2 linked regions of the Canis lupus familiaris genome follow. The protein of the gene in region 1 interacts with the protein of each later gene in a biochemical or structural test. Links are inferred from orthologs where the notes say so. Each region holds a gene or a part of one and is shown on either strand. Other genes may lie near its edges.

Region 1 (5,650 bases):
TCAGCGGTTTAGCGCCTGCCTTCAGCCCGGGGTGTAATCCTGGGGTCCTGGGATGGAGTCCTGCATGGGGCTCCCTGCGTGGTGCCTGCTTCTCCCTCTGCCTGTGTCTCTGCCTCAGTCTCTCTCTCTCTCTCATGAATAAATAAATAAATAAACAAATAAAATCTTTAAAAAAAAAAAAAGATGCCAAATGTTTTCATTTCATTCAGAGACCCTGCCTGGAACTCCAGCTACCCTTTGGGGGCTCAACTGTGTCTTAAAAGCATTATCAGTTAAAAGTGTGGATCACTCTGGAAGGGTTAGAGAATGTTCGGTGATGTCAATGGTGATACACATCAGTGGGAATGTGTTTGGTAAGATTTCTAACCTTGCTGGGTTACTTGTGAGTTTTGCTTTGTTTTGATTTTAGACAGCGGGGAGAGAGATGAAAAGTTGGGGGGAGGGGGATAAGACTTAAAACTGGTGGGGAGGCCCATGACACCTGATTACGGCGGGAGGAGAACCTCAGAGGTTCAAGGACCCGGAACACTCTGAGGGGGTTCAGCCGTGACTGGGGTTAGGTTGGCATTTCTTGATTGGCCTGGTAAGGTGACCAACTATAATAATACCGTCCCCCTGGAACAATGAGTAACTAGTAACTAGTCCAAACAAGTAAGGGAACTTTGCAGATACAGTCCACTGCCACCGAGTTCTCAAACGGTGGGACCTCCTACATTGGATTTTGGGAAGAAAGAGAAAGTCCCAGGAAACAACTGGAATGGCCCTGGGTGGGGTGGGGGCGGGGACCAGACAGAGACGCAGATTGCCTACGGAGTGTTGAAGCTGGGAAGGCGTCAGGTCCCGGGGTCTGGGGTCGGGGGCAGGCAGTGACCTGCTGAAAGCCACCGGCCAGCACACGCGCCTCTCCAGGGATCCGGAGGAAAGAAGTCCTGCCTGCATTTCGAGAGAGGAAGTTTCGGGCCCTCGGGCTATGCTGACGCTCCATCCTGAGCTCTCGGGACAGCCGTCCCTCTGGACTCTCGGAGAACCCGGGGCCTCCATCCGAGTCTACCTGGGAACCCCGGCGCGGAGGGGAGCCAGGTGAGGAAGAGCTCGGCGGGAGAAGCCAAGCCTCGGTTTGCGGAAGCCGGAGCGAGGAGGGTCTGGGTCTGGGTACGGCTGGGGCGTGGGGGGGGGGGGGCGGGACCCAGGGACAGTGGGGCGGGCTCCGGGGCGTGGAGCGCGGGCCCCAGGCAGGGCGAGGGGTCCGGGCCAAGGCGCGGCGTGGGCGCCCGCGGGGCGGGGAGGGGGCGGGGCCGGGGGTCGGAGCCGCGAGCGGCCGGAACAGGTGAGCGGCCGCCGGGCCCCGCCGGGCCCCCGCCCTCCCCGCGGGCGCGCCTCCTCCTCCCGACCCTCCGGGCGCCGAGCGCCGCCGCTCCCCTCCGTTGGCGCGTTTGCAACTGGCAGCTGGCTTTTTTTTTTTTTTTTTTTTTTCTTTCCCCTCCTTTCCCCTCCCCTGAGTGTGTCTCTCCTTCTTTTAGGTCGCTCCACCCCGCGCAGGATCCGGCGAGGGGGAGCGCGCGGCGGCGGCCACCTCGCGCCGGGCGCGCGTGCCAAGTCCCCGAGCGGCGCCCCGCGCCCGGCCCGCGCCCCGCGCCCGCGGCCTCCCCGCAGCCCGTGCCCACTCTTCCCCCCTTTGGCAATCGCACGGCGTTTTAAGAATGCCGGAAAGATGGCGGTAGCGGCGGCGGCGGCGGCGGGCCCGAGCGGCGGGGGAGGCGGCCGCGCGCCGCGGAGCGGGCCGCTGGAAGTTCTGGTGCGGGACCGCTGGCACAAAGTTCTGGTGAACTTGGGCGAGGACGCGCTGGTCCTGAGCTGCGAGGAGGGCGCCGCGGCGTCCAACGGCCTGGGCACCGCCACCAATGGCGCGTTCTGCAGGGGCGCGGGCGGCGCGCAGCCCCCCGACTCGCCGGCCGGGGTCCGCACCGCCTTCACCGACCTGCCCGAGCAGGTGCCCGAGGCCATCTCCAACCAGAAGCGCGGCGTGAAGGTGCTGAAGCAGGAGCTGGGCGGGCTGGGCATCAGCATCAAGGGAGGCAAGGAGAACAAGATGCCCATCCTCATCAGCAAGATCTTCAAGGGGCTGGCGGCCGACCAGACCCAGGCCCTGTACGTGGGCGACGCCATCCTGTCGGTGAACGGGGCCGACCTGCGGGACGCCACCCACGACGAGGCGGTGCAGGCGCTGAAGCGCGCGGGCAGGGAGGTGCTGCTGGAAGGTAGGGGCTCCCGCCGGCGGCCGCGCACACACCCCCTCGCACCCACCCACGTGCCCGCGCAGCCCCGGGGCCGGCGGCGGGGAGCTGGGACAGCTTTAGCCCCCCTGCCCCCGGGTCCCCAACCCAGGTCCCTGACCCCGCGCCCCTAACCCAGGTCCCTGACCCCGCGGCCCTAACCCGGGAGCTCTTGCAGGCCGGGACCCTGCAGGGGTGTGTGAAGGGGCAGGGCGAGCAGGCTTAGTGCACCGCGTGTCCTGTTTCCCCGCGGATAATCCGAGTGAGGCGTGGGGGCCGAGTGTAACCCGGGGCAGCCGTCCACGCGGCGGGGAGAGCCCACTGAATGAATAATCGCAACTCTGCTGCAGCTTCGTGCCTCGGCACTATGTTCTCAGAAGCCTGGGCGATCTGATTTAAAGGGTTCATTCAGTCCCCCCCAAAGAGGATGGAGAGGCGTGGCCGTGTGCGTGGACCCCCCCGCCCCCCAAGCCCCCTCATCCTCCCGGACTTCCCTCCTCGCAGACTGGAAACCCGGGTTATTACGCTGGGGGAGTTGTGCCAAGGGCTGGGGAAGTGTGCCGCAGCTTCATGCAGAAGTTGGTTCCCTTCTGGTGCCAGGTGTTTGGCCGGTCAGTCTGGATTCCAGGCTGCTCTGGCTGGAGGGTTGCTGAGGCAGTTTTTCTGCCTGGCCTCGTCCCGGGATTTTTCCTGAGTGGCGTGGAAACAGTTTCGCATTTGTAAACAGTTTCCCCTGAGTGGGAGGCTTCTTGGAAAGGACTCTCTTGAGATCCTATGTCCCCAATCCCCTAATTTTTCAAGGGAGTGGAATAGGTAGCCGAGTTGTTATAGCCTTTTGGGATTATGTGCTGTTAGGAGGGCAGAAGGGCAGTAGGGTATTAAGTGGATAATCATTCTCCTTTCCCACTACATCTTGTATCTCTTACTTGGTAACTGCCTCTCTGCCCCCATGGCTTGCTTCGTGCTAACCTCAGTTAGCACACATATCATGTAATTATTTTTGCCTATTTACTCAGCTTCCCCCTCACTGTAGATTGAGTTGCCTGGGGTCTTTTATTTAGTTATGGGTCATCTCCCTTGAGTTTCAGGGCTCAAGGATATGCATGACAAGTGAATAAATAAATGAGCCCATAGCCATGGTCGCACAGTATTTCAACCCAGATCTTGTAAACTGGTGGTTGATTTAAATCCGAAATTGAGGACTTAAAGTCAATTTCCTGCTCACCAGATGTGGTGCTGGTGTGTGAAACCGAGAAAGTTCAAAGTTGGAAAACCAGCTTTGTTACATGTGACAGCTGATGCAACTCTCTGGTACACGATCGTCCAGCTCCTGCCTAGAATACATAGGGTCCTCCCCCACACACTTTTATTTATCTAGAGGATTTGTGATGTCTTCATATTTAATAGCTACCCTGGATCCAGAAAGTGGAAGGCTATTTGCTTTGGCTTGATGATTAACATAAGTAAACAGAAAAAAGTTTTCTTGACTCGAGTGTGTGTGTTGGTTTGTGTGACAAGAGGCAGGTGGGATCTGCGGCAAGTTTAGTTTGGACTATAAACTGCTAGGCGCCTGCTTCGCTTGCAATATTTGCTATAAACTCTCAGGGGGGACAAAAGGCAGGCCATTTCTCTTTCAATTCGTTATGTCTTTTATGTCCTTCATTATGTCTTTTCTTCTCTTTGGTTTCAATTTAATGAATAATAACTTAGCAAAGAGATGAAAAAAAAAATCTCTCACCCAAAAAAAGAGGAAGGAAAGGTGACTCCCTGCAGTTGAAAATAAATTTAAAAGGAATCAGACAGTTATGTGACTTTACGGATGCAGCAACCTAAGAGTGAGTTTTGTAAAAACCTCTGATGTGACATTCTTGCAACACGCCATCCTGTGTTACGGGCAGGACCTCTGCGGGGAGGCCTGTGGGCCTCCTGGAAATGAGCCACCTGGGCTTGGGGGCAGCAGTCTTATTCCCAGCCAGAGTTTTCAGAGATCGACTGCAAATGAGAGAAGCCAGTAGAGGCCCCACTCAAAACAATGTCTCTTGCTCTGAGTTGAAGTGTTGGTCCTGAGTGCGTGCAGTAGGAGTGATCATACACCATCAAAGCAAATATCACACGTCCTCTCTTTGTAGCTTATAGTAGTGCATGGATTCCCTACTGAAGGGGCATGTCAGTACCACCGGAAGGGCTTTTCAAAATCACACACCTACTTGCCGGTATTCTCAAATGCATTCTTGATTGCCGAATTTCTGCATGGGAATGATTTTATAGATGTAATCTGCTGGGACGAGAGGCTTAGGGAGATGTTTTAAAAATATGTTTATATGGAGAGTACACAGTTTTTAGATTGCTTTTTTGCTTTGGGGGTGGTTTTTTTTTTTTTGTTTTGTTTTGTTTTGTTTTTTGGTTGGTTTGTTTTTTGAGCTGGCCCATGCAGCTTAATCCCTCAATTTCAGCCAATACGCACCCCATGTAATGACACGCGCCCCCTAGTGGAGAGTCCATACCGCTGCTAGTGGAACCCCCTGAAATGAAAAGCTGAACAGCAAGTTTCCAAGCCTGCGTTCTAGTTACAGAGCCTGTGACAGGATTAACCTCCTTGAGCCTCAGTGTCTTCTGAAAAATGAGAATAAAGAAACTTCTGCTGGACATTCTTACTTTGTAGGGCCTCTGTATGGAAGAGAGTCTAAATGCAAAAGGAAAACAGGATGCGTATCAAATGGCTGCTGTGATTAGTTATGCTATATGAAATGAAGATGAAATTCCCTCTCCCAGGGGAGAGTCCTTACCTCATACTGTACTAGAGTTTATATTTCGTATTTTTAGTCTAAATTTTAAAAAAAGATTTTATTTATTTATTCATGAGAGACACAAAGAGAGAGAGAGAGGCAGAGACACGGGCAGAGGCAGAAGCAGGCTCCACGCAGGGAGCCCGACGTGGGACTTGATCCAGGGTCTCCAGGATCACACCCTGGGCTGAAGGCGACACTGGACCACTGAGTCACCTGGGCAGCCCAAGTCCAATTTTTTTTATTATTATGTAACTGTAATGTTAGGAGACCATTCCTCTCTGAGAAGGGAATCATTACAGCAGCTGACATTTCTTGAGCACTTCTATATGCCAGGCTTTACTTGCATTTGTTCGTTACACTTTTAATAACTCTATGAGGCTAGTACTGTTCATTTTACTGATGGGGAAACAAGTTTACAGACAGCCAGTTAGTTGCTCAAAGAAACCTAGGGAGGAGGCTTCCAGGTCTGACCTAAGAGCTCATCTTTGTGACTTAAAAGCTCATCCTTGTAGTAACTTCTAGGTGAAATTGATACTCTGAGCCTCTCCTTCAACTGTGTGCTTAAGTCAGTTGAAGCTTCTTCAGTTG
Region 2 (5,917 bases), on another chromosome or scaffold:
TGGAGCATCTTTGGTATGGACAGGGGCAGTGAGATGGGGGGAAGGAGAAGCTACGACAATTTACAAAACCACGTAGTCTGGAATTTTCCCTATTAAATCAAATCTGATCTTGTGAGGGGCATCAAACCTGTGCTCAATCACATTCATACAAACCACATTTAACCCCATAAGCCCTGAGAACCAAGACAGGTCTAGTTAGTACTAGGAAGACGAAGGAAAAAAAGCTTAGAACAACTTTTGAGGTAGAAGTTTGGAAATGAATATGAATGAGCTTAAATATCAAAATGAGACTGTTCTAAAACTAGATGCCTAATGAATTATAAAAATCGGTGGCTCAGTGGTTGAGTGTCTGCCTTTGGCTCAGATCATGATCCCGGGATCCTGGGATCGAGTCCCGCATTGGGCTTCCCGCAAGGAGCCTGCTTCTCCCTCTGCCTGTGTCTCTGACTCTCTCTCTCTGTTTCTCTCATGAATAAATAAAATCTTAAAAAAAACAGAATTATAAAATTCTACAAAGATATCAATAAAGAGTAAGCTACCCATTGGTAAAGTTTGACAAGGCTGGTTGGACAAAATTATTAGAAAAAAATTTTTTAACATTTTCTGTTTTAATCACATGAGTTTAGACTCTTAAATAAACTGGCTATATATAGAAACTAAAAAAAGATAAAACACTGGTCTTGAGTCATAATCTGTGCAGATGTACCTCACACCCTTCCCTTTCATCAGCCCTGTCCTTGCGGTTAACCAACCAGCAGACTCTTCCAGTTACTATGTTAACAGAAGGACAACCAACTTTCCTAGGAAATTTCAAGGGAATGAAGTCATAAAATCAACATCAAGAGGCCCCTGAAGATGTGTTCCTCAGGGTCTGTTACTGTCAAGTCTCTTACTGTTCAGCATTTGGTCAGTGAGCTGATGCCAAAGCTGACCTTCTGTCCACTGTGAGACATGATCCCTGTGACCCCACTTTCACTTTCCCCACTTTCAGGAAGCCACCATATTATTCCAAGTCTATTCTTGGGGGAAAGAAGAAAAGAAGGAAGGAAAAGAGAAGTTAAATATAGCAATAGTCAGAATATTATTTCATTTGCCTTGGGCCTCCTTTTCTAAATTTGGTGGGGTGGTTGACACAAGTCTTGATATATTTTCTGGTTACAATTCTAGTTACCATTATACTTATTATTTCCAAGGAAGACACCACATAGGACAGAGGATGGAAGGAAGGAGAGGGCCTAGGTTCGAAGGCCAGCAATCCCATCCATTAGCATTACGACCATGGGAAAATTACTTTTTCTGTGTTTCAATGGCCTTATCACAAAAAGGTTGTATATACCCCCACTGAATTGTCGTGAGGCTTCGAAGCATTGTCTTGTGTGAAACCCTGAGCACAGTGTCTGGCACATCATAAATACTTAATAAATTTTGGCTGTTGTTATCATAATAATTATAATTATTATCACCTTAAAAAGTATAGGGGCACAGAGTGGGAGTAGGAAGGAATGGAGGGAATGGAGGAACTGGCCACTATCTAGCCTCTCCACCAGAGGTCCTGGAGTTGATGGAGGGCAAAGACAAGGTCCAGCCTGCCCCACAACCAGGGCGTCAGGGGTGGGTAGACCAGAAGGTGCCTGATGAACTCTCATGCTGCATTTTATTGGCTCCGGAGAACACGGAGACATGCGCTAGGCCAAGAGACTCTGGCTTGGCCTGCAGTTCACACATTGGCTAGGAGGTTGTAGAAACACCTAGAGGACAGGCAGGCAGTGTGGGCAGGCTGGAGACTGCCACCCCTTTCTGGTTATCTGGGTCTGGGCAGCCATCATCGTCTCCAGCTGGAAGGGGATGAGCCTTGGTGTGACAGCTTAGTAACTGTCAGGACTCCTTTCTGGGCACAAAGTTATTTCACCTCACCCATGGGAAATTCTGACACACTGTCAGAAATGAGGGGTTGAAGGGCTCCTGACGGGCTCAGTCAGTAGAGCATACAACTCTCGGTATCAGGGTCATGAGTTCAAGCCTCATGTTGGGCATAGAGCTTACTTATTAAAAAAAAAAAGTAGAAATGAGGGATTAGGGGTAATCAAAAGTTAAGAATAGGAAATTGGAGGTAATTTGAGAAATGTATTTCAGAGAAGTGCTTTCCTTGGACGGCTCTACAAAAGGCACAGACGCTTGTGAGGTTAACTAACACGGTGCTCAACATCTCCAAATCCACTCTCGGGCAAACGTGGGTATGAATCTCTACCGTGCCCCTTGGAAGCTGGATACCTCGGAGCTATCTATCCACCTTAAAATTAGGTTTTCCCCATTGTAATAGAAACTGTGAACGGTACCAAGCAATCTCAAAGGGTTATTTTAAGTCATGAATGAAAGAACTTATAAAATAAATCTGGCATGTTGTTGGAGCTCAGTGTTACCTATTTTCGTAAGTGACCAAGTTTCTTTGTCATATCCCTTTCCTACAAAAGATAAGTGACTGAGGATTTTGCCAAGAAGCCTGGCAAATGCTTTACTCTTTCACAGACTTTTTCAGCTCAGGATAACCTCCAGGTTTCCAGCTAAAGCTTTCATGTAAATATTTTCCAAGTACAATGTCGACAGAATGGCCAAGATAAGGAGTTCACCACCCAGATGCCCGTGATTCCCAATTATATCTCCTGCATAGGCCTCTCCCTGAACTACCGTGGATTTTATTATTCAATTTCCCACTCAATATTTTTACTGGATGTCTGAAAGACGTCTTAAATTATACGTGCTCAAAATCAAACACCTGATCTTCATACAGAAGTCTGCTCTTCCCGCAGCCTTTGCCACTTCAATTAATGACATCTGTAATCTTCCAAGTGCTCATATGAAAAAGCTTGAGACATCCTTGATGCCTCGCCTTTTGATTTCCAATAGATCAGAAATAATGTTCACTCTGCTTTCAAAATACATCCCGAGACAGACCACCTCTCACTAGTCTTCTAATACAACTTAGATCCAAGCTAAAAATATCTCTTACCCGTGTTGCTGCCATTGCTCCTTAGCTGGACTTCTTGCTTCCACCCTTGATTCTTTTGGGAGTTGAACTGTGTCCCCAGAAAAGAGAAATTAAAGTCCTAACATCGGTATCTGTAAATGTGACCTTATTTGGATATAAGGTCTTTGCAAACAAATTCCTTCCTTGCTCCTTCCTAGCTCCTGGTGGCAGCATCCATCCTGACATTGTTGGCTTGAAGCTGAAATGCTCCAATCTCTGCCTCCATCTCCACACAGCCTCCTCCTGTGCATGGCTTTTTGTGTGTTAAATCTCCCTCTCCTTTCTCTTATTAGGATGCCAGTCATTGGGTTTGTGTCCCACCTTAAGTCTGGGCTGATGTCATCTCTAGATCTTTAACTTAATTACATCTGCAGAAACCCTATTTCCACATAAAGTCACATTGGCAGGTACCAGGGTTTAGGACGTGGACCTATCTTTTGGAGGATGACACCAGTCAACCTGCTACAGTCACTGAGAAGTGGAAAGGCCGGAACTCAAGCTCAATTCTGATGGCAGCATTCCAATTCCATATTGCCATCCCTAGTGATCCCAAAGGAATTCACATAAGCCACTCTAGACTTGTAACTGGCTTGAGAACAAGTGTCTCTTCAGTCATCTTCTTTTCCTAAGAGAAAAGTTTTATTTTAACTTTCCCACAATGTATCTGGAGTCAGATGGAATGTAGTCTCTGAATCTTTATGAGAGTTTCTTGGGAAATATGTGGAAGATTAGTCCAATGCTAAGCATCTTTGGCACCGTCTGTCTTCTTACTAGATGTTGGAGATGTTCTGAGACAGAGTCCCAGTGCGCACTACAACAGAGCTTCTAGCAACAGCACGTAGGCAAACATTACATTTGTAAAGATGCTCCTCCAAGAAGAGGGTGATTTAGACCTGTCTGTAATGTTTGAATTTTTTAACAATAAGAATGCATTTGGGTTCTGTGTAGCAAAGGATTATTTCAGCACATCTGGGTTGTCTAAACATGTATATTTCCCCAAAATATTTGGCCCTTATTCAAGTTCTAGGAGATAACCTCTAGGTCATTGGAATATCCTACTTAATAAAATTATCTTTGTTTACCTAGGTTTCTTGGGCTATACCAGACAGTTATGCTAACAATGTGACTTATTGAGGGCCTTGGGCCATATGGTATTCCCTTGATCTCTGGAGGGCCTGGGTTAGGTCAACAACATGCTCAGTCATCCATGCATATGTAATCGAACCCCAATAAAATCTCTGGACTCCAAGGCTCAATGAGCTTTCCTTGTTGGTAATACTTTGTGTGTATTGCCACACATCGCTGCCTGAAGAAGTAAGCACACCCCACTGGGATAGGACAACCGGAAGCTTGTGCTAGGTCCCTCCTAGACTTTACCCCAAACGCCTTTTTTCTGTTGTTGATTTTCATCTGTATCCTTTCATTACAATACACACCAAACACAGGAACCATTGCTTAATAAAACTCCATAATTTTTTAAACAGTGCATGGGTCCTTCGACATTCAGTTCTGGCAAACTCCTGTTGAATTATAAACTCCAACACAGTACAGATTGTGCCTTTCTACATTCATCTTTACTCCCACCTCCCCACAATACTCATATGGAGCTTTGCATGTACTAGGTGTTCAGCAGAACAAATGGGGATGACATTGAAGTCTGAGACCAGATTGAAAAATCTCCTATAATCGGAGCTGACTCATGGGCCGTTGGTGAGCTCTGCTATAAATTTTTCTGAATGGAATTCAATTCACACAATGACGATCACCCAAGGTTGAATGATGGGAGCCCTCATTTGATGGTTTTGAATGATAAACTCACCTAAGATGGCTTTCCTCCTTGAATCCTCCGTTCCCTGCCCCTGTGGCTTGGGAGACAATGCTTAAAGCTTGGGCAAGTCTGGCATGTTTGAACTGATCCCAAGGTGGTAGGGAACACACACTCCCTCTTCCCTTCTCTATCAACCAGGAATCTGTTTGCAATGCACAGTATTTGAGTTTCAGCTCCTACAATTTCTGACACATTTAACACTGCTATGCTATTATGATAAATGGGCGGTCTCCCTGAATTGGGAGGTTTGGTGGGAAGGCAATCCTGAGCCTGAGCAACTTCTTTCAACGGCAGCCTTGAAAAAGATGCCATGACTCCACAAGAAGAGCAGCAAGGTCCTCACAGGTTTATTCTACAATTAAAATTTTAGGGGACTCCCAGGTTGGCCAAAATCTTAGTCTCAGCAGAAATAAAGCTTGTTGAATTGCTGCAAATGTTAAGGTCTACTAAATTGTCTAGAACCAGCATCTCTTCAGAGGTCTCTGTTTTGTTTGCTTTGAGATAGAATAAAATATTCTCAACACATAATGTCAAGGAGCAAGTTCATGGGCAACCTGGCCAGTGTGCACTCAAACAGACAGTGGAAGGACTTAATGTAGGATTGAGGCTTTACTCCACTGCCATCCAGAAATAGCTGAATACTCTGCACTGCTTGCTTTTGTTCAATGCATCTGTTTGTTCATCTGTTTGTTTGTTTTTTGTTGCTTTTGTGTGTGTGTGTGTGTGTGTGTGTGTGTGTACCAAAATCTGCACCAGCAAAGTTTTTTGGGCAAAAATTTAAAACAAGCCAAAATGGGTAGACCAACTGATTTTTTTTACAAGGATGCCAAGGGAATTAAATGGGGGAAAGAAAAGTCTTTCTACCCAATTGTGCTGGGGCAACTGGATGCCCATAAGCAGAAAAATGGAGTTAGACCCTTATTTCACACCATCACTAGCAAAAACTACCTCAAATGATTAAAGGCCTAAATGTAAGCCTTAAAACTATGAAAGCTTTAGAGGGAAACATAGGATTAATCTTTGTGATCTCGGATTAGGCAGTGGTTTGTTAAATATGACACCAA

What was found. The genes of interacting proteins can lie anywhere in the genome.
Region 2: the proteins of SNTB1 (region 1) and CYSLTR2 interact in a test that uses a peptide from one of them, tested with the Homo sapiens proteins (2 studies listed by IntAct, with this or other methods). The link is inferred for Canis lupus familiaris from reciprocal best matches to the Homo sapiens genes SNTB1 and CYSLTR2.

The regions. Positions count from the first base shown.
Region 1 is NC_049234.1:20,012,555-20,018,204, reverse strand, and holds the start of SNTB1 (beta-1-syntrophin), read left to right. Parts: upstream 1-1,696; 5' UTR 1,697-1,711; coding exon 1,712-2,258; intron 2,259-5,650. UniProt on the Homo sapiens protein: Adapter protein that binds to and probably organizes the subcellular localization of a variety of membrane proteins. May link various receptors to the actin cytoskeleton and the dystrophin glycoprotein complex.
Region 2 is NC_049243.1:2,925,456-2,931,372, forward strand, and holds the start of CYSLTR2 (cysteinyl leukotriene receptor 2), read right to left. Parts: upstream 3,463-5,917; 5' UTR 3,008-3,462; intron 1-3,007. UniProt on the Homo sapiens protein: Receptor for cysteinyl leukotrienes. The response is mediated via a G-protein that activates a phosphatidylinositol-calcium second messenger system.